2 linked regions of the Macaca mulatta genome follow. The protein of the gene in region 1 purifies or fractionates together with the protein of each later gene. This does not show direct contact. Links are inferred from orthologs where the notes say so. Each region holds a gene or a part of one and is shown on either strand. Other genes may lie near its edges.

Evidence for each region.
Region 2: the proteins of PPP1R15A (region 1) and EIF2S1 purify together in Homo sapiens (affinity purification with western blotting; 4 studies listed by BioGRID and IntAct, with this or other methods). This does not show direct contact. The link is inferred for Macaca mulatta from reciprocal best matches to the Homo sapiens genes PPP1R15A and EIF2S1.

The regions. Positions count from the first base shown.
Region 1 is NC_133424.1:61,323,584-61,338,440, reverse strand, and holds PPP1R15A (protein phosphatase 1 regulatory subunit 15A), read right to left. Parts: upstream 8,201-14,857; 5' UTR 7,967-8,200; intron 7,396-7,966; 5' UTR 7,387-7,395; coding exon 5,593-7,386; intron 4,611-5,592; coding exon 4,251-4,610; coding exon of another isoform or gene 4,222-4,250; 3' UTR 4,170-4,221; downstream 1-4,169. Other genes in the region: PLEKHA4 (pleckstrin homology domain-containing family A member 4), read left to right, coding at 13,266-13,349. UniProt on the Homo sapiens protein: Recruits the serine/threonine-protein phosphatase PPP1CA to prevents excessive phosphorylation of the translation initiation factor eIF-2A/EIF2S1, thereby reversing the shut-off of protein synthesis initiated by stress-inducible kinases and facilitating recovery of cells from stress.
Region 2 is NC_133412.1:140,518,280-140,532,970, forward strand, and holds the start of EIF2S1 (eukaryotic translation initiation factor 2 subunit 1), read left to right. Parts: upstream 1-8,129; 5' UTR 8,130-8,224; exon of another isoform or gene 8,225-9,440; intron 9,441-11,219; exon of another isoform or gene 11,220-12,487; 5' UTR 12,488-12,488; coding exon 12,489-12,729; intron 12,730-14,691. Other genes in the region: ATP6V1D (V-type proton ATPase subunit D), read right to left, coding at 687-804, 7,425-7,465. UniProt on the Homo sapiens protein: Member of the eIF2 complex that functions in the early steps of protein synthesis by forming a ternary complex with GTP and initiator tRNA. This complex binds to a 40S ribosomal subunit, followed by mRNA binding to form a 43S pre-initiation complex (43S PIC).

The sequences.
Region 1 (14,857 bases):
ACATGGTGAAACCCCGTCTTTACTAAAAAATACAAAAAAAAAAACTAGCCGGGCGAGGTGGCGGGTGCCTGTAGTCCCAGCTACTCGGGAGGCTGAGGCAGGAGAATGGCGTAAACCCAGGAGGCGGAGCTTGCAGTGAGCTGAGATCCGGCCACTGCACTCCAGCCTGGGCGACAGAGCGAGACTCCGTCTCAAAAAAAAAAAAAAAAAAAAAAAAAAAAAAGTACAAAAATTAGCTGGGCGTGGTGGCTGACACCTGTAATCCCAGATACTTGGGAGGCTGAGGCAGGAGAAACACTTGAACCCAGGAAGCAGAGGCTGCAGTGAGCCGATAGCTCCACTTCACTCCAGTCAGACTCTGTCTCAAAAAAAAAAAAAAAAAAAAATGCCGGGCATGGTGGCTCACACCTGGAATCCCAACACTTTAGGAGGTTGAGGTGGAAGGATCACCTGAGGTCAGGAGTTCAAGACCAGCCTTGCCAATATAGCAAAACCCCATCTCTACTAAAAATACAAAAATTAGCTGGTGGTGCATGCCTGTAATCCCAGCTACTCTGGTGGCTGAGGCATGAGAATTGCTTGAACCTGGGAAGCGGAGGTTGCAGTGAGCCGAAATAGTGCCACTGCACTCTAGCCTGGGCAAGAGAATGTGACTCTATCTCAAAAAAATAAAATAAAATAAAATAAAGGCCGGGTGCGGTGGCTCACGCCTGTAATCCCAGCACTTTGAGAGGCTGAGGCGGGCGGATCACGAGGTCAGGAGATTGAGACCATCTTGGCTAACACAGTGAAACCCCCTCTCTACTAAAAATACAAAAAAAATAGCTGGGCGTGGTGGCGGGCGTGTGTAGTCTCAGCTACTCGAGAAGCTGAGGCAGGAGAATGGCGTGAACCCGGGAGGCGGAGCTTGCAGTGAGCCGAGATCACGCCACTGCACTCCAGCCTGGGCGGCAGAGCGAGACTCCGTCTCAAAAAAAAAAAAAAAAAAGGAATTTTCACACTACATCGGAAGAATCAGGAGGAACTAGCTGAGCAAGAAGGCTCAGGGTTGGGATCCTCAGGCAGCAGGTAGCACTCATACAAAGGTTTTAAATTAGGTGGAATTAGGTTTGGTTGCCTTGGGGAAATGAAAAGATTATATGGCAGGAGTGGGGATCTCAAACTCCTGACCTCGAGTTAGGGACCAGCCTGACCAACATGGTGAAACTCCGTCTCTACTAAAAATACAAAAATTAGCCGTGCGTGGTGGTGGGCCCCATAATCCCAGCTGTTCAGGAGGCTGAGGCAGGAGAATCGCTGGAACCCGGGAGGCGGAGGTTGCAGTGAGCCAAGATCGCACCATTGCACTCCAGCCTGAGAGACAGAGCAAGACTCCCTCTCAAAACAAACACCTGATCTCAAGTGAGCCATCCACCTCAGCCCACCCAAAGTGCTGGGATTTCTAATTTAAATGATAATAACCCTTCCCAGAACTAAGCTGCTTTTGTGAAGCTAATGAAAGGCCATTAGGTTAGGAGGATGAGAGGAACCTGCGTTCTGTGAAGGTCTAGAGGAAGAGTAATACAAAAATTAGCCCTGCGTGGTAGCTCACACCTGTAATCCCAGGTACTAGGGAGGCTGAGGCAGAACTGCTTGAACCCAGAGGATTGCAGTGAGCTGAAATCACGCCACTGCACTCCAGCCTGGATGACACAGCGAGACTTGGTCTCAAAAAATAAATAAATAAATAAGAATAAAAATTAGAGGTAGAGGTGGGCATAGTGGCTCGTGCCTGTAATCCCAGCACTTTGGGAGACCAAGGCGGGTGGATCACGGGGTCAGGAGTCTCAAACTCCTGACCACCGACATGGTGAAACTCCTTCTCTACTAAAAATACAAAAATTAGCTGGGCGTGTTGGCTCACACCTGTAATCCCAACTACTCAGAAGGCTGAGGCAGGGCCGGGCGCGGTGGCGCAAGCCTGTAATCCCAGCTCTTTGGGAGGCCGAGACGGGCGGATCATGAGGTCAGGAGATCCAGACCATCCTGGCTAACAAGGTGAAACCCCGTCTCTACTAAAAAATACAAAAAAAACTAGCCGGGCGAGGTGGCGGGCGCCTGTAGTCCCAGCTACTCAGGAGGCTGAGACAGGAGAATGGCGTGAACCCAGGAGGCGGAGCTTGCAGTGAGCTGAGATGCGGCCACTGCACTCCAGCCTGGGCGACAGAGTGAGACTCCGTCTCAAAAAAAAAAAAAAAAAAAAAGAAGGCTGAGGCAGGAGAATCGCTTGAACCCGGGAAGCGGAGGTTGCTGGTGTGCCGAGATCTGCCATTGCACTCCAGCCTGGGTAACAAGAGTGAAACTCCGTCTAAAAAAAAAAAAAAAAAAAGCCGGAAGTGGTGGTGCACGCCTGTGGTCTCAGCTTCTTGAGAGACTGAGCCAGGAGAATTGTTTTTTGGTTTTTGGGTTTTTTTTTGGTGGGGGGAAGGGGACGGACTCTTGCTCACTGAAAGCTCCGCCTCCCGGGTTCACGCCATTCTCCTGCCTCAGCCTCCTGAGTAGCTGGTACTGCACTCGCCTACCACCATGCCGGGCTAATTTTTTTTTTTTTTTTTTTTTTTTGTATTTTTGGTAGAGATGGGGTTTCACTGTGTTAGCCAGGATAGTCTCGATCTTCTGACCTTGTGATCCACCCACTTCGGCCTCCGAAAGTGTTGGGATTACAGGTGTGAGCCACCGCACCCAGCCAGGAGAATTGTTTTAACCTGGGAGGTGGAGGTTGCAGTGAGCCACGATGTCGCCACGGCACCTCAGCCTGGGCAACAGAGTGAGACTCCATATCAAAAAAAAAAAAAACCAAAAAACAGTATATAGAATAATTACCCTATTATAGCATTTATTTCATGAGCATTGTTTTAAGTTTTAACTCCTTTGAGGCCTTACAATCCCAGAAGGTATGTACAATTGTTAGTCACCTTACAGATAAGGAAACTAGGTCTATGGACACAGGGCTTATCAGTGTGAAATCAGGCTGTGACAGCAATCATATAGGGTAGTTGCAGGAGATTAGAAAATTCCAGGCAGCAGTTTCACATGACCAGAATAGCAACAGCAAACTTGAAATAGCTACAGTAACTGTGGGTTGATAAGATTCCAAAAAACCAGGCTGTAGGCCAAGTAGACTAAGACCGACTAGACCTAATATGGTGCTGGGTCTGACCTCGGTTTCCCGTAGGACCTCATTGTATGTTCATTAACACAGTCACACACCCACCAACATCATGATAGTCCTAGGAACACCCATATTTGGTATAAAGATGGGTGGCACCTCAGTTCTAAGAAATCTCCATCTTTTTCCAGGAATGCTCATGAGTGTTTTACCCCTTGGTTAAAAAAATCCAAAAACGGCCAGCGTCATGGCTCATGCCTGTAATCCCAGCACTTTGGGAGGCCAAGGTGGGTGGATCATGAGGTCAGGAGTTCGAGACCAGCCTGATCAACATAGTGAAACCCTGTCTCTACTAAAAATACAAAAATTAGCCAGGCGTGGTGGCACGCGCCTGTAATCCCAGCTACTCAGGAAACTAAGACAGGAGAATCGCTTGAACCCAGGAGGCAGAGATTGCAGTGAGCCAAGATCGCACCACTGCACTCAGGGCTGGGCGACAGAGCAAGACTCCATCTCAAAAAAAAACAAAACAAAACTATAGGCTGGGCACGGTGGCTCATGCCTGTCATTCAGCATTTTGGGAGGCCAAGGCAGGTGGATCAGGAGGTCAGGAGTTTGAGACCAGCCTGGCCAACATAGTGAAACCATGTCTCTACTAAAAATACAAAAATTAGCCAGGCGTGGTGGCGCGCACCTGTAGTCCCAGCTACTCGGGAGGCTGTGGCAGGAGAATCACTGGAACCCGGGAGGCAGAGGTTGTGGTGAGCTGAGATCGCGCCATTGTACTTCAGCCTGGGCAACAGAGCGAGACTCAGTCTCAAAAAAAAAAAGAAAAAGAAAACTATAAAACCCACCAGCTGTTAGGTTCAAAAGCCTCAGGATGAGTGGAAGCAAATTTGAGGAAAAGCAGTTTATCCCCCAATGAAGTGCTTTGTTTTATGCTATTCTCTTCCCAGCTACCTCGGGGACCTGTGAAAACAGAATGCTGTCCGTTTCTGACACACACACAGACCCTGCTTGCTACAAATCAAAAGGCTTTATTCCTTATACAAACCCACACTTAGAAAAAATAGTTAATAAATTATAGGCAAACCAGTTGGTCTTAGCCACGCCTCCCAAAGAGGTCCAGGGGAGCCGTTGCTGCACCAGGAGAGGGGGAGGATGTGGCAACAGCTTGGCTCAAGGGCGTGGCCTGGACTGGGGACAAAGGGACAGAGGAGGAAGGCAAGGTCTGGGTGAGGGCAGGGATGGGGGCTAAAGGTGGGTTCCTGAGGCGTGCCCAGGCTCTGGCCCGGGCAGCAGGGGTGAGGCAGGGGCTCAGCTCCTCCTGGGCCAGGGCGATACGGCGTGCAAAGCGGCTCCGATCCCGAGCAAGCTGCTCCCAGGGGCCCTGGCGGGCGGCCTGGGCCGGCCCTGCCCAGACAGCCAGAAAATGGACAGTGACCTTCTCGGAGAAGTGCACCTGGGGGCAGACACCGGGACACAGGCAGGAGAGGGACACAGCCACGGGAATCCGGATGGGGAAGAGAGAGAGAGAAGCAAACAAAAATTAGTTATTACACAAAAATGCTTTCTATCTGGCTAGTCACTTGCCTGTCACTGTCATGGGATTTTCCATCTGACTCACTGAAGGCAGAGATGGTTTCCTGGGGTTGCTGTGAGCCACAGCTGCTCCCTCCTCCCCCAGGGGCCTGGCCTCTTACAAGAGATTGCGTGACAGTGTACACAGCCCTCCCCATAGAAATGACACGCAATCCTCTGCAACATACAGGGACCTGGAGTCTCAGCCTCCAGCCCCTTCCTCTCCCAGACTCAAGAATCTGGGCTCTCGGCCAGACGTGGTAGCTCATGCCTGTAATCCCAGCACTTGGGGAGGCTGAGATGGGCAGATCACGTGAGGTCAGGAGTTCAAGACCAGCCTGGCCAACATGGTGAAACCCCCATCTCTACTAAAAATACAAAAAAATTAGCTGGGTGTGGTGTCGTGTGCCTGTTATCCCAGATACTCCAGAGGCTGAGGCACGAGAATTGCTTGAACTCGGGCTGCAGAGGTTGGCAGTGAGCCAAGATCGCGCCACTGCACTCCAGCCTAGGTGACAGTGCAAGACTCAATTTTAAAAAAAAAAAAAAAAGGCCGGGCACGGCGGCTCATGCCTGTAATCCCAGCATTTTGGGAGGCCGAGGTGGGAGGATCATGAGGTCAGGAGATCGAGACCATCTTGGCTAACACGGTGAAACCCCTTCTCTACTAAAAATACAAAAATTAGCCGGGCAAGGTGGCGGGCGCCTGTAGTCCCAGCTACTCGGGAGGCTGAGGCATGAGAATGGCGTAAACCCGGGAGGCGGAGCTTGCAGTGAGCCGTGATGGCGCCACTGCACGCCAGCCTGGGCGACACAGCGAGACTCCGTCTCAAAAAAAAAGAATCTGGGCTCTCAGCACCCACCTTTCTGGCCTTTAGGGGAATCTTGGGGTCCAGATCATGGGTAGGGGTTTCTGGGCGCTTGAGCCGCCTCTGCAGTCGGAGGGGCAGTCTAGGAGGAGTCCAGGGAGGTGGTGGCTTCTCTCCAGGTACATAGATGGCCACTCGGAAGGGGCAGGGCTCAGCTTCTCCCCAGTCCTCAGCAGCTTCCTCTTCCTCTGTCTCCTTTCCAGGTCGGTATACCCAGCCCCTGAAGTGGGCACTCTGGGCCGGGTGGGAGGGATGTGGGTCTGACTCAGCTTCTCCCATGGCTGCTTCTGAATCATCTTCCTTACCCTCACTATCCGCATCCTCATCTTCCTCCTCCTCCGTGTCCTCTCCTGGCCGATACACCCAGGACTTCAAGAAAGCACTTGGAGGGGGTGTGGAAGTGGAAATTTCAGCTTCTCTTTCATCCTCAGCTGATCCTGTATCACTGTCCTCATCTTCCTCCTCCTCCGTGTCCTCTCCTGGCCGATACACCCAGGCCTTCAAGAAAGCACTTGCAGGGGGTGTGGAAGTGGAAATCTCAGCTTCTCTTTCATCCTCAGCTGATCCTGTATCACTGTCCTCATCTTCCTCCTCCTCCGTGTCCTCTCCTGGTCGATACACCCAGGACTTCAAGAAGACACCTGTAGCAGGAGTGGAAGAGGAAGCCTCAGCTTCTCCCTCTTCCTCATCTGATCCAGAGTCACTGTCCTCATCTTCCCCATCTTCCTCTTCCTCCGTGTCCTCTCCAGGCCAATACACCCAGGCCTTCAGGAAGGCACTTGAGGGGGGGATGCAGGGAGGACACTCAGCTTCTCCATCCTTCTCAGCTGCCCCCAAAATCTTGACCTCACCCTCCTCTTCATCACTGGGTTGGCACCACCAGGACTTGAGCTGGGGCCTTTGGGCTGGGGCTGAGGAGTGTGGCCCTGGGGCAGCTTCTCCTTTCCCAGCTTCTTCGTGTGCCTTTTCTTCCTTCTCCTCAGACGCCTCTCCTGAACGATACTCCCAGGCCCTGGGGTTGGAGCCTGAAGATGGGGGGGACACGGAGGTCTTCCTGGCTCCTTTACTTTTTTCTATTCTTCTTTCGTCCTCCGTGGCTTGATTCTCTTCCTCCCCTGGGCAAGACACCCAAGTGCTGGGCTTGGATCCTGGAGACAAGGCAGAAGTAGAGGTTCTGCGAGTTTCTTTCTTTACAGCTTCTTCATCGACCTCTTCCTCCACTGCTGGACAACACTCCCGGTGTGACAGAGGATAAGAGAACTTGTTAACTCCCTCCTCTTCAGCAACTCCCTCTTCCTCAGCTTTCTCCTCCCCTAGGTTCTTATCAGAACCTTGCAGCGTCCTTATCAGAAGGCTGGGAGACAGGGGAGCAGGCTGGCCATCTGCAAATTGACTTCCCTGCCCTCTAGGGACGCTGGTTGCTTCTCGCTCACTATATATGTCATCATAATCATCCAAAAGTCCCCAGGCTTCAGGAAGGGAACTGCTGGTTTTCAGGCCCAGTGTTTCTCTGTTCTCTCCAGGGCCTGCACGGTCTTCAGCCTCCTCATCAAGGCATCTGCCGCAAGGGATATGGGGGGTTGCCAGAGGAGTCCTGGCTTCTCCCTCCAGGCCAGCTTCTACCAGAGCTACTCCTTTTACTGCCTCCACAAGCCAGGGCTCTGGAGGTCCCAGGCCCCTCAGGCGGCTCCAGGCCCGGCTGAGGAGGCCCATCACTGGGGACAGGAGGAAGAAAGGGTGGGCATCCCTCCATGGGGTAGCCTGATGGGGTGCTTGGCCTGGGGCCATGTGTCTGGGCTGGAAAAGGGGGAGGAAAAAAATAAAGTTTAGGGGCCATTTAGGGGATGGCATCCGGGCATGACTATGAGTCATAGCAACAGAAATAGTAACACAACTATTGTCAACAGCAACGCAAGAGTCCCAAATTCCTTTCTGATCTCAGCCACGCCCATCTCTGCCTCTTGGCTCTGTTCTCTCTCATCTCTCAATAGCCAGGAGTCTGAGCCCCTAGTTCTTCCTTAGATCCAAGGGTCCAAGCCCCCAGCCCCCTCTTTCTTCAGACGCAGAAGTCCCAGTCCCAAGAACCAAGAACAAAAGTCTTTTGCTTGCTTCCCTTGGCGACAAAGTCATAGTCCCTCCCTAGCTCTCTCATCCTGCTGAAGATCAAACCCTCACACCCTCCTCCCTTGCAGACTCAAACATTCTGACCCGACCCCCCACTTGCTAGATGATTCCTTCACGGGGACCCAAGAATCTGGCTTCCAGATCCCTCCTCCCTCAGGCTCCGGACTCCAGGGTCCCAATCTCTTCTTCCTAAATCCAGGTCTCCAGCCCCGTGGGGACCCAGGCGTTCCGACCCCTTACTCACCGGTGGGGGGCTGCGCGTCACCCCGGGGGCAGGAGCGCCGGCTCGGTCTGCCAGAAGCGATCACAGGTCCTGACGATTAGGAAGGCCAGCGCGTTCATCTCACCCTCAGGCGTCGGGCTCCAGGGAACTCAGAGTATCTCCGGCTGCCTCAAGCGCAGTGGCGACAAGCGGGCGCGGGGTCCTGCGGCGTCTTGCATACGATCAACAACTTGGACAGGAACCAACACGATGAGCGCAAGCGTAGGCCACGACGCGTTTATATTCTACAGCGCCTGGCGTGCTGACGTCACGGGGAGAGGCGGGGTTTCGAGACCACAGCCCGAAGGGTGGGAAGTGAAAGACTGGACTTCTCGCGGAGATTCCAGCCTTTGTAACGTCTCGGCGGAGTTTCCGAGCGTGACCACGCCCCCCCAACCAGCAAACTGTCAATCAAATGCGTGGTCCTGCTTCAGCAGCGAGCCGGTTCTCTCTTAGCTGAGGGCCAATGCCTTCCCACCCAAATTTATTTATTTGTGTATTTATGTATTTATTTACTTATTTATTTATTTAGGTTCGTTAGTTATTTTGAGGCGAGTTTTGCTCTTGTTGCTCAGGCTGGAATGCAATGACGCTATCTCGGCTCACCGCAACTTCCGCCTCCGGGGTTCAATCTCCTGCCTCAGCATCCCGAGTAGCTGGGATTACAGGCAGGTGCCACCACGCACGGCTAATTTTGTATTTTTTGAGCAGAGATGTAGCTTCTCCATGTTGGTCAGGCTGGTCTGGAACTCCTGACCTCAGGGGATCTGCCCGCCTTGGCCTCCCAAAGTGCTGGGATTACAGGCGTGAGTCACCGCGTCCGACCTATTTATTTATTTATTTATTATTTATTTATGTATTTTTCTGAGACGGGATTTCACCATGTTTGCCAGGCTGGTCTCGAACTCCTTACCTCAGGTGTTCTGCCTGCCTCGGCCTCCCAAAGTGCTGGGATTACAGGCGTGAGTTACCGCCCCAGGCCTATGTATTTATTTATTTTATTATTATTATTATTTTGAGACGGAGTCTCGCTCTGTCACCCAGGCTGGAGTGCAGTGGCCCGATCTTGGCTCACTACAAGCTCTGCCTCCCGGGTTCATGGCATTCTCCTGCCTCAGCCTCCCGAGTAGCTGGGACTACAGGCCCCTGCTACCATGCCTGGCTAACTTTTTGTATTTTTAGTAGAAGCAGGTTTTCACCGTGTTAGCCAGGATGGTCTCAATCTCCTGACCTTGTGATCCGCCCGCCTCGGCCTCCCAAAGTGCTGGGATTACAGGCGTGAGCCACCTCGCCCGGCCTGTTATTTATTTATTTTTTTGAGACAGAGTCTCGCCCTGTCACTGAGGCTGGAATGCAATGGTGCGATCGGCTCACTGCAGCCTCCATCTCCTGGGTTCAAGCAATTCTCCCGCCTCAGCCTCTGAGTAGCTGGGATTACAGGCATGCACTACCACACCTGGCTAATTTTTTGTATACAGACAGGGTTTCGCCATGTTGCCCAGGCTGGTCTTGAACTCCTGAGCTCAGGCAATCTACCCACCTTGGCCTCCCAAAGTGTTGGGATTATAGGCGTGAGCCACTGCACCCGACCTATTTATTTATTTTTTGAGACAGAGTCTCACTTTGTTGCCCAGGCTGGAGTTCAGTGGCGCCATCTCGGCTCACTGCAGCCTCCACCTCCCGGGTTCCAGTGATTCTCCTGCCTCAGCCTCTGGAATAGCTGGGATTACAGGAGTGTGCCGCAATGCCCAGGTAATTTTTGTATTTTTAGTAGAGACAGTGTTTTGCCACGTTGACCAGGCTGGTCTTGAGCTCCTGACCTCAGGTGATCTGCCCGCCTTGGCTTCCCAAAGTGCTGGAATTACAAGCATGATCCACTGTACCTGGTCTCCTACCCCAATTTAGCCCAAAGGCCCAGCCTACAGCCCCCCATTTTCTTTCTTTCTTTCTTTCTTTCTTTCTTTCTTTCTTTCTTTCTTTCTTTCTTTCTTTCTTTCTTTCTCTTTCTTTCTTTCTTTTCTTTCTTTCTTTCTTTCTTTCTTTCTTTCCTTCCTTTCTTTCTTTTCTTTTTCTTTCTTTCTTTCTTTCTTTTTCTTTCTTTCTTTTTCTTTCTGTCTCTCTCTCTTTCTTTCCCCCCTCCTTCCCTCCTTCCTTCCTTCCTTTCTCTCTTTCTCTCTCTCTTTCTTTCTCTCTCTCTCTGTCTCTCTCTCTCTCTTTCTTTTTTTCGAGACGGTGTCTGGCTCTGTCACCCAGGCTGGAGTGCAATGGTGTGATCTTGGCTCATTGCAACCTCCACCTCCCAGGTTCAAGCAATTCTCCTGCCTCAGCCTCCCGAGTAGTTGGGAGTACAAGAGCTCGCCACCATGCACAGCTAGAGTCTCCTATTTTCACAAGCAGTTGGTTTCCTCCCTGAGTGTGAGGGTGTCATTGTTCCCATTTCACAAATGGGGAAACAGGCTTGAAAATGAAACCACTTGACTAAGATAGTCACAGCAGAGTCCAGATTCCTTGCAAATGAGAATGAAGATGTAAGCACTATGAGATCAGGCACTTTGCTAGGCTCAGTGCTTTTAAAAAAATAATAATTAATTTAGGCCAGGTGCGGTGGCTCACGCCTGTAATCCCAGCACTTTGGGAAGCTGAGGCGGGCAGATCACGAGGTCGAGATTGAGATCATCCTGGCCAGCATGGTGAAACCCTGTCTCTACTAAAAATAGAAAAATTAGGCCGGACGCAGTGGCTCATGCCTGTAATCCCAGCACTTTGGGAGGCTGAGGCAGGCGGATCACAGGGTCAGGAGATCGAGACCATCTTGGCTAACCCGGTGAAACTCTGTCTCTACCGAAAATGCAAAAAAAAAAAATTAGCCGGGCGTGGTGGCGGGCGCCTGTAGTCCCAGCTACTTGGGAGGCTGAGGCAGGAGAATGGTGTGAACCTGGGAGTTGGAGCTTGCAGTGAGCCGACATCTTTCCACTGCACTCCAGCCTGGGCAACAGAGCAAGACTCCGTCTCAAAAGGAAAAAAAAATGAGTTGGGCGTGGTCACACGTGCCTGTAGTCCCAGCTACTCAGGAGGCTGAGGCAGGAGAATCACTTGAACCCAGGTGGCGGAGGTTGTAGTGAGCCGAGATCGCGCCACTGCACTCCAGCCTGGCAACAGAGCTAGACTCTGTCTCAAAAAAAAAAAAAATATTCACTTTCTAAATAGAGACAGGGTCTCACTATGATGCCCAGGCTGGTCTTGAGCTCCTGGTCTCAAGTGATCCTCCTGCCTTGGTCTCCCAAAGTGCTGGGATTACAGGCATGAGCCATTGAGCCCGGCCAGGGTTCACTGCTTTCTTCTCAGTGACTGCAACAGACAGTGCCTGCACATAGTAGGTGCTCAACAGATGCATGGTGAATGGTGGTTAAACCAAAAGCTTGGATTCCTTCCTGGTCACAGGCAAAAGGCTCCACTCCTGGGTTTCATCTGCTTCAAGCTTAGGCAATAGCTCTGCCTCCACAAACCACAAGTCTGCCTGGGTGGCACTCTTCATGCGAGTGGGGGCGCTTCTGCTACAAGTTCCAGGCCCGGGGTGACAGTTCCAGCCCCCAGCTCTCCTCCCCTACCTATGGATGCATAATCTTGTTCCTCAAAATATACCAAGGAACCATGTCTCTCTCCTGAGGGAGTTGTCCTCAAGTCTAGAAGAGAATTCTCACCTGGATCTGAGGTGGAGGTTTGGAATTCTCCATTTCACCCTGCCCTACTGGGACCATCCCCTTTTCTCCCTAGGGGACCTGGACAGACTATCCCTGGCCCCTTCCAATCACAGTCATGTTTCCAGACTCCCAGCTCATTCACGACTCAGGAGTCCTGACTCCTAGCTCAGACCTTCTGGGGCACCCAGGTGTCTCGATCCCTAACCCATTCCCTGCAGGGCTTTGGAAGTCTGAGTCCCCACCCCTTGCAACACACAAACCTCCTCCGTGTAGGACACCAGTGGCCCCGGTCCCCAACCACAGCAGCAAACCCACGGGGGCTCTGGAGTGCAGGCCTCAGGTCCAACTCTCCAAACACTGAGAAGCCCCAACCTTGGTCCTTAAGGGACCTAGGAATTGGGGGACCCAAGCCCCTCCCCTCAGCTGTGGGGGCAGCTGAGCCAGGGGTCAGGCTGTAGTGGGGAGGCCAGAAGGGGCGGGGACAGCCGGGATTGGGAGGGGAGAACAGCAGCGTGGGCGGCTGGCAGAGGCAGGGAAAGACCAGCAGAGAGGAAAGAGAAACTGGGAGAGGGAGGAAGGGAGAAAGTGAGAAGGGAAATCGGAAAGAGAAAGGGGAGGAAACGGCAGACGTGGAGAGTCAGAGAGAGAGACAGAAAGAGGAAGAGACTGAGTGTGAAGGAGAGAGGACACGGGATGACAGAGAGAGAGAGAGAGAGAGAGAGAGAGCGCGTGAATGAGATAGAGACTTAAAGAAGAGACCCTGTGAGTCTGTCAATCAAAGATTTGGACAGAAACGGAAAGATTGGAGAGAGAGATAGAGGGAGAGAATGAGTGAGAGAGAAACTGGAAGAGACAGAGATCAGAGAGAGGAGAGACACAGAAAGTGAGACTGGGGAGGGAGATAGTGTAAAACGGAGAGAGAGAGAGAGAGAGAGAGAGAGAGAGAGAGAGAGAGAGACCATAAGAGACGGGAGACAGACAAAAAGTGAGCAGGTGAGGAGAGAGATTGAGAACTATGAGAGACAGCAGCTAAGAGACAAAGGAGGCGGGAGACTGCCTGGGTGCCGCTGCAGCACCCACACCGTCCTCTTGCCCCCTGTCTTTGGGACCCTAGAGCTGGGTAAGTTCCCTGGCTGGGCTGGGAGGGCCTCTCTGGGTGCACATTCCTGCTGCTGCGGGGCTTGGCTTGGGGAGTTGGCAGGGATGCTTTGGGGGCGCATGTGGGAGGGCGGGAGACAGGTAGCCTGGGGCAGCCGGAAGGAGGCAGGGAATAGGGGGTCCTTAAGCTCAGAGAGGGTCAAATTCCTGGCCTGAGTGCAGTGGGGTGGAATAAAGGATTCCCTATTCTCTGGCCTGGGCTGCAGACAGCTGCCCCCTCCCGCAGCTGCCAGGGCCGCCTACCTCTCTTGGCACCACTCTTGGTATGTGGTCACGGGCCATGGCCTCCCCCAGCCCCTCAGTCCCGAAACAACAGGCTCTTTCTCTGCAGCCTCCTCAGACCTCCGAGCCCCTGACCCCATCTCTGTCCCGCACCCGTCACTGCGGAGACACAGCCCCTTTCTTTCTCTCCCCAGCCCTTGATGGAGGGGAGCCGACCTCGAAGCAGCCTGAGCCTGGCCAGCAGCGCCTCTACCATCTCCTCACTCAGCAGCCTGAGCCCCAAGGTTTGAGCTTCCTGGCGGGGATGGGGAGGAAGGTGGGGCTCTGGGCCGCCCATCCCTCTGTTTCCCCAAGGACTCTGGTTGTTAAGGACAAGGATCCTTAGCAACAGGGTCTGCCAGACAGTAAGGTCCCAAATTGCCTACCAGCCGCAGCTAGGAATTCAGAGGCACTCCCAGCTCTGTCCCCACCCTTTGTATTTTCCTAATTCTAAACCAGAGTAACAACCTCCCTTGACCCTGGTTGCTAAGATAAAGCCGCTCCCCAGCCATGAGGCCCCTTGAGTTCTCAGAAGTAGCGGGCTGCTCTTGATTAGTGCTAGAACTTGCTGTCCTATCTCTTGCCATCCAGTCTATCCACTAATGAAATCCTATAAGGAAAGACCCTTCTCTGACGGTGAGACCCAAGGGGCCCCCGGATACTTGCATCCCAAATCGGCATCCCGGCCAAAAGCTTAGGGAGACACTCATTTCTTTTTCCTCCTGCCATTCCACACATGTCCTTTCATGTGTTCGGAGCCCGGAGATCTGACTCAGCCTTGGTCGGTACCACCGCTTCCCAGGAAGGGCATATTGTGGGGACCTGGCTAAGGATGCCTGAGATATCTGTGGGCATCGGGAGACGAGGCTCCATCCGGGCAGGATGGAGGGATTTAAGGCTTCCTCTCCTTGGACTTGGTTGCTAAGGGGTGTGACCGCAGGGCACCAGGGCATCCTTTGATTCACCGGGGACTCAGCGTGAGAGTTCCCCCTGATTATGGGGACCTCCCAGCCCATAGTCCCAGTTCACATCCCAAAAGCCCCTACTACAGCTCTAGCTCTGGTGGCCAAGGGCATCTGCTTCTTGGCAGTGGACCCTTGATCAAGAAATTGCTTCCCTACAGCCTCTTCCTTGCCTCTGAACACCTCCCTCCGCCCATCAAAAAGAGAGTCTCGGCCCGACACAGTGGCTCATGGCTGTAATCCCAGCACTTTAAGAGTCTGAGGCGGGTGGATCACCTGAGGTCAGGAGTTCGAGACCAGCCTGACCAACATGGCGAAACCCTGTCTCTAGTAAAAATACAAAAATTAGCCAGGCGTGGTGGCACGTGCCTGTAATCTCAGCTACTCGGGAGGCTGAGGCAGGAGAATCACTTGAACCTGAGAGGTGGAGGTTGCAGTGAGCCAAGATTGTACCATTGCACTCCATCCTGGCGACAGAGCGAGACTCTGCCTCAAAAGGAAAAAAAAAAAAAAAAAGAGTTTCTCCCAGTCCGGGCAACAAAGTGAGACCCCCTCCTCTACAAAAAGTCAAAAAATTAGCTGGGCATGGTGGTACGTGCCTGTGGTCCCAGCTATACGGGAGGCTGAGGCTGGAGGATCACCTGAGTCCAGGAGGTAATGGTTGCAGTGTTTAGGCCATTGCACTCCAAAGAGGCTGTCTCAAAAAAAAAAAAAAAAAAAAAAAAGAGTCTCTTAACTCTGCAATAAGAACACCTCCCAATTCTGATCTCCAACCTCAGCCCCCACCTTGA
Region 2 (14,691 bases), on another chromosome or scaffold:
CTGTTGGAGCCCAGGAGTCAAAAAGACCAGCCTTGGCAACATAGTGAGACCTTGTCTCTACTAAAAAAAAAAAAAAAAAAAAAAAAAAAAAAATGAGCTGAGAATGGTAGCATACACCTGTAGTTCCAGCTACTTGAGAGGCTGAGGTGGGAAGATCACTGGAGCCCAGTTTGAGGCTGTAGAGTAAGACCCAGTCTCAAAAAAAAAAAAAAAAAAAAAGAAAAGAAAAGAAAGAAAATGTCATGCCATGCAGTAGTACATGCTACAATAAATTAAAATAAGGAATTGTGAGAGAAGCAAACATGGTATTCACTTTAGATTGGGTGAACAGGAATAGCTTCTCTTAAGAGACTAGAACAGCCAAAGGATCCAGTTATAAGTTCTGGGGAAACAGTATTTCAGGCAGGAAAAAGAGCTAATGAAAAGTACCTGGAAGACCTTAGGAAGAACGCTCTAAATGAGGTAAGAGAGGCAGGCAGGGGGCCAATCAGATCAAGTGGAGCTTTACATGCAACACTGAAGAGTTTGGATTTTATTAAATGAACTATTTGATATTTGACACTTGTTAAACTTATAATGATATTTTTACTTTTGAAAGAAAAAATTTAATTAAAATAACCAAAAAAAAAGTGCTAAGGGCCATGCTGGATTTTCCCAAAATGAATACTATTCTAAGTTCATTCTACCTCTATTATCTTCTTTAGGATCTGTCGAAATCGAAGAGTTAAGGCATCAGATTTTTTCTTCAGGAGGTTTCGACCTGTCTGTGCTCCCTTTAAACGAGCCTTCATGATAGTCTGTGCCCTATATAAACATAAACAAAGTTAAAGACATCTATTTTCATTGTTTAAAAGACAAAAAACCTCCCCACCAGTGTTAAAATTATCCTTTATCCTTTGATGTGATGAGAGGGAGAATATATAGAGAATTTGTAGCTGACAGGTTTAACTGATGCTATGGCTTGAATATGTCCCCAATCTTCATGTGTTGGAAACAATCTCCAATGCAACAATGTTGAGAGGTGGGACTGTTAAGAGATGACTGGGTCACATGGGATCTGACCTCCATGAGTGGATTAATGTCATTATGGTAAGACTGGATTCCATATTGCAGGAGTGGGTTGGTTATAAATGTGAGTGCAGCTGGGCACACCTGTAATCCCAGCTAGAGGTGTAAGTGGGAGGATCCCTTGAGCCCAGGAGTCCAAGTCCAGCATGGGTAAAGATAGTAGCAAGACTCCATTTTTGTTTTTTGTTTTTTGTTTTTTTTTGAGACTGAGTCTCACTGTGAAGCCCAGGCTGGACGCAATGGCGCGATCTTGACTCACTGCAACCTCCACCTCCCAGGTTCAAGCGATTCTCCTGCCCCAGCCTCCCAAGTAGCTGGAACTACAGGCGTGTGCCACCAAGACCAGCTAATTTTTTTGTATTTTTAGTAGAGACAGGGTTTCACCATATTGATCAGGCTGATCTCGAATTCCTGACTTTAAGTGATCTTCCCACCTCAGCCTCCCAAAGTACTGGGATTACAGGCATGAGCCACCACGCCTGGTCCGACTCCTTATTTTTTGAGACAGGGTCTTGCTCTGTCACCCAGGCTGGATTGCAGTGGTGTGATCATAGCTCGCTGCAGCCTCTAACTCCTGGTCTCATGCAATCCTCCAGCCTCAGCTTCCCAAAGTGCTGAGATTATGGGCATGAACCACTGCACCTGACCCTGTCCCTTTGGAAGGAAATAAAAAGGCATGTGTGACCCTTTCTTGATCTCTCACCCTCTTGCCTTCTGCCATGGGATGACACAGCAAGAAGGCCCTCACCCTTCTCAGCCTCCAGAACCATGAACCAAATAAATTTTTTTTTCTTTATAAATTACCCAGTCTCAAGTATTGTTATAGCAGCAGAAAATGGACTAAGACAACTGGTTTTTCAATAATGTAGATTTCTACCATCAGTGTTCCATAAATGAAAAGTTTATTAATTTACAATAGAAACAATTTTAGAATCAATATCTGGAATATTTATTAAATCATAATAAACATTATCAGGAGCCTTATTTTATGATGCCAACATATTTTAAATACTTATCTGATTTGTAAGTTAAAATAATATCTACATTTTAGTTTCCATTGGAGGTATATTAAGGATTTAAAAATCTATCCACTAATATATATCAAAATTTTAAACGCAATTATTTTCAAGACCAACAATTCCACTTTGAGGAATTTATCCTACAAATTTATCCCCACATGTGTACAAAAACATGTGCAAGGTTTAAAAGATGGGTACTCCAGCATTATGGTAATAGCAAAAGGGAGAAACAAGCTAAATGCTAAATACATCATAGTTCACCTACCATGGAATGATATACAGTCATTAAAAAAGACGAAGGTATATAGGCATGTGCTGTCTATATTACAGTCTTATGCAAAGTAAGGAAAAAATGTGCTTATATAGATGCAGAGAATAGTTCTAGAAAGGATTCAGAAAAACTGGCAAGAGTTACCTTTGATAAATGGGACTGGATGAAAAATATGGATTTACTTTTTACTACTATATTCTTTTGTACATTTTGCATTTTATTTTATTTTTATTTTATTATTATTATTTTTTTTTTCAGGCGGAGTTTCGCTCTTGTTGCCCAGGCTGGAGGGTGCAATGGCGGGATCTCGGCTCACAAAACCTCCGCCTCCTGGGTTCAAGCGATTCTCCTGCCTCAGCATCCCGAGTAGCTGGGATTACAGGCATGTGCCACCATGCCCGGCTAATTTTGTGTTTTTAGTAGAGACGGGGTTTCTCCAAGTTGGTCAGGCTGGTATCGAACTCCTGACCTCAGGTGATCCGCCCACCTTGGCCTCCCAAAGTGCTGGGATTACAGGTATGAGCCACTGCACCTGGCCTGCATTTTTTATACCACAATAATTTACCACATTTTCTATTAAAAGTGTGGTATTAACATGTTTTGATATCATCAAGATCCTAACACCAATCATTTTATTAATTTGTAAAAGACTCTAGGTAATAAATGACATATATAAGATTCCTGAGAAGTGACAAGCTAAATTTACACTGAAGTCTCCTCACTTCCTTGTTTCAATTTTTTTCCCCATCAGAAGCCCCAATACCAAAGTCAAGCAGAAACTGACATTTCTGTTCTTGCTGCCATATGCCAGATAAAATTTAATAATGAAAAAAAGTAGAGCCCAGTTTGAGGCTGTAGAGTAAGACCCTGTCTCAAAAAAAAAAAAAAGAAAGAAAGAAAAGAAAAAAAATGTCATGCCATGCAGTAGCACATGCTACAATAAAATTAAAATAAGGAATTGTGAGAGAAGCAAACATGGTGTTCACTTTAGATTGGGTGATCAGGAACAGCCTCTCTTAAGAGACTAGAATAGCCAAAGGAGCAATTTATAAGTTCTGGGGAAAGAATATTTCAGGCAGGAAAAAGAGCTAATGAAAAGTACCTGGAGGACCTTAGGAAGAATGCTCTAAATAAGGTAAGCGGTACAGTGGCTTATGCCTGTAATCAGCACTTTGGGAGGCTGAGGTGGGTAGATTGCTTGAGTCCAGGAGTTCAAGGCCAGCCTGGGCAACATGGTGAAACCTGTCTCTACAAAAAAAAAATACCAAAATTACCTGGGCATGGTAGGGCACACCTGTAGTCCCAGATACAAAGAAGACTGAGGTGAGAGGACTGATTGAGCCCAGAAGGTCTAGGCTGCAGTGAGCTCTGATCATGCCACTGCACTGTAGCCTGGACAACAGAGCAAGACTCGGTCTCAAAAAAACAAGTGTTTGGGTAATAAAATTCAACAACAGATTGTATAACCTAGACACAGTATAACCTAACCTAGACAAAGTGATTTAAGGGGATATATTTTCATACGACTGGTGTTTTAAAATCGCATGTACTAATAAACCAGGTGCAGTGGCTCACACCTATAATACCAACACTTTGGGAGGCCGAGGCAGGTGGATAACTTGAGGTCAGGAGTTTGAGACCAGCCTGGCCAACACAGTGAAACCCCATCTCTACCAAACAAATACAAAAATTAGCCGGGTATGGTGCCGCATCCCTGTGGTCCCGGCTACTTGGGAGTCTGAGGCACAAAAATCACTTGAACCCGGCAGGCAGAGGTTGCAGCAAGCCAAGATCAAGTCACTGCACTCCAGCCTGGGTGACAGAGTGAAATCCTGTCTCAAAACAACAACAACAACACACACACACACACACACACACACACACACACACACCCCATTTGGCCAAATTCTTAGATTATACTGGAATCTTTTACCATAGGGCTAAGATCACTAAGACAATTCTATAGCTGAAAGGGACTTTAGACATTAACTTAAAGATTAGAAAAATGAGGCTTAGAAAAGTAAAACAACTTTCTCAAAGTTACTTAGTGAAGAAAAGGCAGGGCAGGAACCTGAACCAGACTTTTGATTCCACTGACTTTCCCAATGCTCAAACTAAGGCTCCAACCTAGGTTCACTGTACCCCAACCGTGTGCCTCCCCTTAAAGACAACAATTATCACTGGCTCACTCTGCACTGACTGGCCTCACAAGAGATCTTATCAAGTGAAGCTGGTTTAGTTTCCAGCCTGAGCAGGAGCTATCCAGCCCAATGTGTGCATTTAACATACTGTATTGTTGACAGTAAATACTAGAACTCGGGCTCAAAGAGCTGGATCAAATTTAAGTCAAATTGTAGTACTGCATATAGCAGTCAGTTTATAGTAAAAGGTAAACTGGTTGATAAAATTGAATTTACCATGTTAATTTTAATTTCCTCCTAGGGAATGGTATCTCTGTGAAATGGGCAATTTTAATTCCTGAAACTCTAAGGGCAGCTTGCACACTGACAGCTAATATGTAGCAGAACCTGGATTTAATGGACTTCTGTTGACTCCAAATTTTTCATGCGTCTTCTACTTCCACTCTAAAATTGTTTTGCTTTCTGTGGTACCAAAGTGGGTGAAAGTAACATCACAGAATAATACTGTTGTTGAAAGGAACTGTCTGTGAAACAGGCTGCCAATGTTTTCTAGCCTATGGCTTTTAAAACTTGCTCCTTTGTTTCAGAGCTGCTCAGTCCTACTCAAACAGTTTGACCTTTAGCTAGGATGATGACTTTTCTTCCAGCTGAATCAAAGACATCTGACTACATGACAAAAAGCCTGCTGCCAGCCATGGGGAAAATATTTAGAGATTATTTCCTGCACCTGATTTTCCTCTCAATCAGCAAGCTGAGAGCTTTCAAATAGTAGTTTTCACCTTCATGAGCCTATTATTTTTCTTACCTAAGCCCAAAGACGTCTATTTTTGCCTCTTAGTCTCAAAGTAAAAGTTCCAAAGTAAAAACAAAAAGTTATTCTGACTGCTGTCAAAGATAAACACAGCCAGACATTCGTTAAAGCAATGAAAACAGATTTTATTCAGTAAACCACTGATAGCAGGGGAAAGAGCTGAGCTCAATTCTGGTTTGTGCAGAGTGACTGTCCATTTTAAAAAGAAAGTAAGGGAGTGGCAGGAAGCCAGCCACAAGTAGAGTCAGAGAAGAGAAACTTAAAGGGTTGGTCAGTGTAAACGCAATGCTACCTGGCAATTAGTAAGTTATTGTTCTATCCTCCCACACAGACTGGGAGACAAAGGCCCTATCCCTCCTGATGATTACATTTCAAAGAAATGGCTCTCTAAGATACTTGAAGGGACACCAGAGTTGGAAGAGATAACATATTCACAATTGTAAGCCTGTTTTTCGTAAATGCTCTAAAAAAGGAAGGACAGGTCAATTAGGTGTTGACTAGAACAAACAGTAAATTCTCCTCCTAGCTTTGAGCTTTTTCAGGCAGGCATTTTAATGGGGGGGGGCTGGGGTCACCCTTGGGGCAGGTTTTACGCTGCTAGAAGATAAACTAGCGTCGGTGTCTCTCAGTGCGTAAGTTTTGACTGAGTCATCACGTGCTAGGAGTTCTGCAGTTGCCACTAACCCGGGATAGTCCCCATCTTTATTTCCCCACAACTAGCTTGCTGCCTACTTAGTGCGAACAGCTATTAGAAAGTCAATAGGTGAAGGTAAAAAATTTAAAAACTTCATTTCATTAAGAGCTATGTAGTCACCCTGGCAGAGACAAATCTGGGCTTCAGGTTTGAATGTGACTTTTATTTTAAGCGTCCTCAGATTCTCTCAGAGAAAGGACAGAAAGAGGAAAAACAACAAAACACCCCCACAGAGATAGGACCACAATAAAAGGATCTAAATGTCAGGGTTAAAACTGATTTTCTGCTTCCTCACTGTAAAGAAAAAGGGAAAGCCAGGCGCGGTGGCTCCCACCTATAATCCCAGCCGCCAGGGAGGCTGAGGCGGGAGGATCGCTTGAGCCCAGGAGTTTGAGGCTGCAGTGAGCTATGATCACACCACTGCACTTCAGCCTGGGAGACAGAGCGAGACCCTGTCTCTTATTAAAACAAACAACAAACTAAATAAATAAAAATAAACAGGATGAGGAGGAGAAAGGGAGCGAGTTGTTGGGCACATTTGAGAAAACGTCAAAATTTTCTTTACAAACTAGCCAAAAACCTACAGTGATATGCCACTTTCCTGACAAAGAATTCAGGCCCCAAAAGAAAGGTAGCCCACAACTGAGCGTATTCCCAAGCATGAGTTCTTTCAAGAAATATTTTTTTGTGGACCTTCTATGGATTGTTAAGACATTCTTTCCTCCTGGAGAGAGCCCACAGTCTAGTGGGAGAGAAAGACACATAAACAAATATCTACTTTACAATGTGATGACTGGTATTAACACAGGTCTTAACAAGGTGCAGCGGTGAGAGAGCAAAAGCTGTGCCTCAGAAACACAGGGATATCCTCTCACAGCCGGTGACATTTGGTGGGATCTTGGAAAATGAGTAAGGGGATCCAAGATCGAATCCGAGGACTATGCTAAGGCGATTCGATTCCATCCCCACTTTGGCTTAGGGACCTCTTCTATATCCTCAGTAAACGTCCCTTCTCAGAGCATTTATTAAAACCTCCTTGGCCTTTCCAGACGAATGTCTGGCTACATAAACTGTGAGCTCTGTGAGGGCAGAGGTGGCGACGGTTCAGTTATATAAATCCAGTGCCCGGCTCAGTAAGGGTATGTGGAATGGATGAATCCATTAATGAATAAAGACAGCGGGCCTCCACAAAAGCCCGCCGGCCGGGCGCCTTTTCCTACCCGCTGGGATCGCTTCATCCAGCCTGATTCACTCAGGAGGAATGTGCGAAGAGGCCGTCACGAAGCTTCGCCCTAGACTCAAGAAAAGAGCCTGGGAAAAGCTCAAGAAACAAGGACCCTCACTGTGGCCCAGGGTCTGAAGGGATCGCGCTCTGGGTTCCTAACCCTGTGAAAGCGGCTCATCCCATTCCTTTACTTACATTCTCGAGGGAAAGATTTCAATTCGGTCTTTGCCCGACATTCTGACGATAACTGTTCGGCTCGGGTCCCCGGCCGGGCAACCGAGGCTACAACAGCTCCAGAACTGGCCTCCACAGTGACTTCCTCTACAGGAGTCAGCTGGTTGTGTCACTTGACCCCCTCTCGTTGCTAAGAAGCAGCAGGGACACCCATTTTCACTTCCGCTTCCGGTTGTCAAGAGGAGGAAGGGGGAGGACAGAACAGAGGCGTTGCCCGGATGTCTAGGCGCGCGCACCGCGGAACCATCCCTCAATTCCGGTTCGCCTCCCAACCCCTCCCCATCCAGCTTCCCTGAGGCTGCGCAATACGCGGCACGTGCCAGGCCAAAGACTAGGAGCGAAGCGTGCACGCCTTGTTTCTCTCCACCTGTCGTCTCTGGTCACAGCGCCATCTCATGGTTAGCTGAAACTGTGAACGAGGATACATTCTTCAGGGGCAAGGAATCAGAGTCCTATGTCTTTCTCGCGCCTTGAATGTTACTTAGCTAAAGCTAAGATAGCGAGAAACCGTACTTTTCGGGTCCTTCCATGATCTACATTCGTCCTTGTTCTCGGAGGACCCAGACTCTATGGTTAATGATGAAGAGGGGTCTCTATTCGTTCAACGCTTGCGCAATACGAGGAGGTTCCGCATGCGCAGTCGGGTGACCGAAGCGCACGCTGAGGAGGATCGGCGGCCGGTGAGGGAGAAGCAAGTCTGGTCTCTCTGATTAAAGAAGGCGGCTGTGGTCTCCACTGCGGGAATCACACACATACCTCAGGTGACTAATCCCAAGCTCGGTTTCTCCAAGAACTCACTTTGGTTTGTGTCCAGTGACATGGGTGTTCGAGAGCGGGTAGGCCCCGGGCTAACACCTCCCTTTCCCGTCCCTGCGCGGGAAGTGGCTGGACAGCACCGCCGCCACCCGCGCTGTCGTGGGCCTCGTCGCCGGCTCCGTGTAGGTCATCCTGTGTTCCAGAGGCGTCGTTGTTCCAGCAGAGGAATCTCGTAAAGGAAAGTGGGCCGAGTGGATTGTACAGCCTCTACAATATGCCGAAAGTGAGAATGCCTTGACGATGGGGCGGCCTCGGGAGAACGTCGTGACACCCTAACTCTTACCCCCAGCTCAGGACGCTGAGCAGTTTGCTTTTTCCAGGTCTGAGAATTCCATCTTTTCTTCCGCCCCAACAGTTCTACCGAAATTTCCCCCTGCTTCTCAGTGGAAACCAAACTGGACTCTTACCTGAGAAACGTGTGGGACGGGCACCGTGTTGGAAAGAGCGGGGTCCGAGTAGTTTTTCATCTGATAATTGAATGAGTCACCCTTTGAATCAAAACTAAATGAGACTTGAGTTTATTACTGTTACTATCAGTTTGTTTTATGTTGGCGACAATGAGAATAGAACTGTGTTAAGCATATGTTAGGTTAACTATGCTAAGCATAACAGAAAACCTAAGATAAGGAAATATTTTCGGGTTAAATACACAGTCATCCCTGGGTCTCTTTATCCACAAAATTTAGGCTTTTAAAATTTTTATTAAGCAAAAGACATGGTTTTTTCGAGAAAAAGTATAGCAGAGAAGTGTATATTTTCTCTCAATTGAGTTGTTATTCAAGGAAAAATCTCTGGGTCAGTAGTTTGGGGATGACTTATACCGAACTTTACTACCTATTCTCAGTTCATCTGGTGCCAAAAGATGTAGTTGTCTCATGCACAGTAATGTTTATAGAGATTTGGTGATAACTTTCTTTTTCAACTATAATGATGAAATAAAAGCTTTACTTATGTAGCACTCCTATACCAAGAACTACCATTCAGAGAGCATTCCTAATACGTGTTAGATCCAAATTAGAATTATCACGAGAGTTGTCCCCATCACATGTATTTTGGAAAGGAATGTGAACTTCTATATCCATTATAGCAGTTTGACCATGCACTGTTTTGAGAAAGAAGTTCTACCTACCATTTGTCCTGCAAAATAACTGACTAGCCAGGGTATTTGAAATTAGCCCGGAGTTTGGTTGATATATTTTGAAAGGTGGCTGATACTTTTACATCAGAACACATAAGAGTATTATAATGTGTTGTGATATTGAGGTTCTGTGGGTTAAAGACATTCTGGATTTGATGTCGATTATCTTAAGAAAGTATTATAATTTAGTATTTCTGTTCCTCCTTTTTCTGTTCATTGCTTCACTGTGCTCCTTTCATAGTACTTCATATTGTAATCATTTGCTTGCTAGTTTGTTTCCCACTCTATACTTAACTTAGGTAAGAGTCTTTTTTTTTTTTTTTTTTTTTTTTTTGAGACAGAGCCTCTGTTGCCCAGGCTGGAGTGTAGTGGCACGATCTCAGCTCACTGTAGCCTCTGCCCCTGGGTTCAAGGGATTCTCCTGCCTCAGCCACCATAGTAGTGGGATTACAGGTGCCTACCACCACACCCAGCTAATTTTTGTATTTTTAGTAGAAATGGGGTTTCACCATGTTGACCAGGCTGGCCTCAAACTCCTGGCCTCAGGTGATCCACCCACCTCAGCCTCCCAAAGTGCTGGGATTACAGGTGTGAGCCACCGCGCCTGGCCTGGTAAGAGTCTTGTTGACACTTCTTGAGGACCAAATAAAATAAGTCAGAATGCTGTGAAAAAGATAAAGAGATGAAGTCACCTAGTGTGACTTCGATATTGCCAAATGTTTTTTTAAGTAAAAAAAAAATAATAAGTTATTAGCATTTCATTAGGCAGTATGTTGAAAGTTTATCAACCAATATGCAGGTTTTTGTGGTATGGATTCTTTTTGTACTTAACTTCCTGTCTTTGCTATGAATAACTTAACCATCAACAGTATTCCTTTACTTACCCTTTATGTTGCAAAGAGACTTGTGCCTCCTGAAGAAATAGTATTCATAGTCATATCCCTTCAGGATTCTTTTACACGATTGCCCGTGTTTTTTAACCATCAGATTAAGCCTTGCTTCCCCTAAAAGCGTCACCTTTACTATTTGGAGAAACTTGGTAAGTAAATATGGTTTTCACCTGTTAAATGTCTTAAAACTGTTCCGTACATTTCTGTAACATAGTTTATTTTGATGCCCAATTTGAAACTTTTTAGCTCTCAAATTTGAGAACTTTACATGCACATATTCAACAACAGTTTCCCCACCACCCCCACCCCCACCCCTGAAAAGCCCTGTTTAAAAATGAAACAACCAGTCAGCTGTTTCTTGGTGGGTAGTTCTGGCCATTGAATGTCTACTTATCTTTGTTTGCTAAATCCCTATTTTGTAGGGATTTTGTATTCCCTACAAAGAAATACATCTCTGCTACTGTCATTAATATGCTGCTTTTTGTTGTTAAACCAATGAGTACTAATAGTTTGCACTTATTGGTGTCACATACTCTAGCACTGAATATATATATATATATATATTCATGTTGCTTTTAAAGTAAAATGTTTCTAATTGTAATATGTTTATGAATAGTTTTGAGAGAATATAGTCTTACTGATAAAGAGGACAGACTCTGGGCCGGGTGCGGTAGCTCAAGCCTGTAATCCCAGCACTTTGGGGGGCCGAGACAGGCAGATCACGAGGTCAGGAGGTCGAGACCATCCTGGCTAACACGGCGAAACCCCATCTCTGCTAAAAATACAAAAAACTAGCCGGGCGTGGTGGCGGGCGCCTGTAGTCCCAGCTACTCCAGAGGCTGAGGCAAGAGAATGGCATAAACTCGAGAGGCAGAGCTTTCAGTGAGCTGAGATCAGGCCACTGCACTCCAGCCTGGGCGACAGAGCCAGACTCTGTCTCAAAAAAAAAAAAGAGGACAGACTCTGGATCCAAACTTCCTGGATTCAAATCCTGACTCATCACTTGTTAGCAGTATGTGAAAGAACAAGTAACTTAACCTGTGCTTCACTTTTTTAATCTAGAAAATGGGGAGAACTAGGGAGAAAGTTGTACCACAAGGAGATAGGCAGTGACCAGATCATATAGGATTCTGTAGGTAGTGAAAACATATATAAGTCAGTAGCAAGCCACTGGGAAGATATAGGCAGGTGCCAATTAATAAGTTATTAAATTAATTTTCACAAAGTTTTCTTAGGCCTTTAAGTTATGTTACTACTTAAGTTTTGAGCAGTGACAACAGTGAAGGTTAACAGAAAAACATGGAAATCATCAGCCATGATTAGTTTGAGAGCTTCCTTTTTAAATGTGCTTCTACCCAGATTATGATTTCAGGCTTGTGGATCATAGAAGGAGTAGTGCTGAAAGTAGGTTGGGTGGATCAAAGGGAATAATTGTAAATATCTTTAATGCTTGGAGGTTAAGAGAAACTTTAACTTTGTAGTAATGGAGATTAAAGCTATTCTCAAGATTAAGTATACCTATTCAATAAAAGAAAGGAATATTTGGGAGTATTGGGGATAAGAGAAGCTAGACATTGTGAATTCAAGGAAAAAAAATTATGAGAGGAGGAGGATGAATTTTAGTTTATTTTGTGATTAAGATTTTTTTAGTTTTTGTTGCTTTGACATGTGACGCTAATTTGGGCTATAATAAATGACAATATATCATATGGTATATTGGTTAAGATTTAGGTAGAAAATCTTTCCTTTATATAGTGAGTGGTAGCATATACAATGTTTGCTAACTTCAGCGAAGAGTAGCTTTAGTTTTCTGATTAGTTATAATAGTGATGCTTCCCATCATTTGATATGCCTTAAAGTAGTATTTTACTCTTGAGGTATTCCTTTAATCCTTAGGTCTTGGAGTACTTTATAGATGGTCATTATTTTTTATGATTCCTCTGAAACTAATGGCAGAGAATCACCCAAGCATTACAAAAATGTTGAGCAAAGTAAAAATTAAAGCTTGGTTCCTGAACATTATCTGTTTTCTGGTACCACTTAAGTTTCAAAGGATGAGAAGACTAAGACTAATAACTATTTTTTTCTTCATCTTTTCTTTCAGTGGCAAGATGTGGAAATTGATTTTTTTTTTTTCATCTTAACTGAACACTTATTTAATTCTTTTGTTTAAATTGCAGAATGCCGGGTCTAAGTTGTAGATTTTATCAACACAAATTTCCTGAGGTGGAAGATGTAGTGATGGTGAATGTCAGATCCATTGCTGAAATGGGGGCTTATGTCAGCTTGCTGGAATACAACAACATTGAAGGCATGATTCTTCTTAGTGAATTATCCAGAAGGCGTATCCGTTCTATCAACAAACTCATCCGAATTGGCAGGAATGAGTGTGTGGTTGTCATTAGGGTGGACAAAGAAAAAGGTAAGTGAGAAAAATATCTGTAATATAAATTTCAGATTTAAAATGGTTTAAAAATACATTTTTTGTAAATTGCATGCGGCAGCTTAGGGAAAAAAAGCTCTTTTTATACTTAAACCTCTTACATACAAAGTGGTTAGAAAACCATGTCAATTAGCTATTTAAACAAGATCTCTTAAGTTAATAGTAGTTTAATTAGTACATCCTAGGATTTTATGGATCAAATAACTTGAATTTTATTTCTAGTGTTTATCAGGATTTTGGTAATTGAATCATGGTAACTAAACTTAAAGAGAGTACTAGTTCATTTACATTGGTAGATCTGAATATGTTGGATGCCTTTTTTCTTGATTTAAAGCTAAAGTAGTAATGAGATCTTTGGGTAAGCATGAAAATGGGGCAGATGGGTTTTACGAATCTTTTATATAAGCCTTGAAGAAGCAATATACTATGTGTGTATATACACACCTGAAATCTAACATTGTATATCTTGCTGGTAATTAGAATGTTTGTGTCTACCAAATCCTGTGGTATCTTTCAGACAGTTTTGAATGACTATCCATTTTTTACTTATTGGATTCCTTTTCTGGACCCCATGTAAATCATCACCTTTGTGAATACTGTTTTTTAAAACATGGTATACAATACCATTAAGTAGGTTTTAATTTCAGCCATCTTACTTTAATTTGTTAGGTGTTAGTTTTAGGTCATTAGTTACTATCATGTCTGAAGGGCTGCATATCAGTCACCTTGATTCAACTTATCCTTCTGAATCTCCTTAGCTGTCTAGTTTACTGATACTTTCTCACTTCTGCAAGTGATTAATTTTATACATACTGACTTTTTTTTTATTATTATTATAGCCTTAGATGATACATAAATTTTGAGGTTATCTTATGCCTTAGGTAGTGACTGCTACTTAGCACATGGATTGTTTTAAATGTTTTGCTGTGACTTAGCTATAGCCCCACCCAAAATTATTAAACTACTTTGAGACTATTTGTTAAACTTACGTAAGTCTTCACATCACTGTCCTAGTAGTACGTAAAATAGTGTCTAATCTTGTACTTCGGTTTTTTTTTTTTTTTTTTTTTTAAGAGTTGGGATCTTGCTCTGTCACCCAGGCTGCAGTGTAGTAGTGTGATCATAGGTCGCTGCAGCCTTGAACTCTGTTCAAGTGTTCCTCAAGCAGTCCTCCCAAGTAGCTGGAACTATATGCATGTGCCACCCTGCCCAGCTAACTTTCTTTGTAGAGATGGGGTCTCACTATGTTGCCCAGGCTAGTCTTGAACTGGGCTCAAGTGATCCTCCTGCCTTGGCCTCACAAAGTACTGGGATTACAGGTGTGAGCCACTGTGCTCAGCCTTCTTTTTCTATTGTATGAAATATATACAAAAGGAGGAATCAAATATGTTTTTAGTTGCAATCAGAAAAAATATGGAATGGCATACTTGCTTACATACAGTAGATACATGTAAAGCTATTTCCATAGCATTTGTTTGTATGGCATTAACTAAAACCAGGAAATGACCAAAATGGGGACTGGTTAAATAAATCAGTACAAATGCATGCAATGCAATTTTATGCAGAATGAGATCTGAATATTCTGTATTCTGATATGGAAGATCTCTACGATAGGATGAGGAAAAGAGCAAAGTGCAAAACAGCCTGTAGAGATAATTCATTTTACTAGAGAATTAGGTCCTGCTAGATAAGCCTTTCGACGTAAATGCCATAAACCCTGAACAAGTATGAAAAATAACTACCTAAAGACAATGAGAAGCAGCCAAAAGCAGGCCAAACTTGAAAATTTGAAGGTGAGTCGACACTTACAAGAAAGGATATGTTGGCCGGGCATGGTGGGTCAAGCCTGTAATCCCAGCACTTTGGGAGGCTGAGACGGGCGGATCACAAGGTCAGGAGATCGAGACCATCCTGGCTAACATGGTGAAACCCCATCTCTAC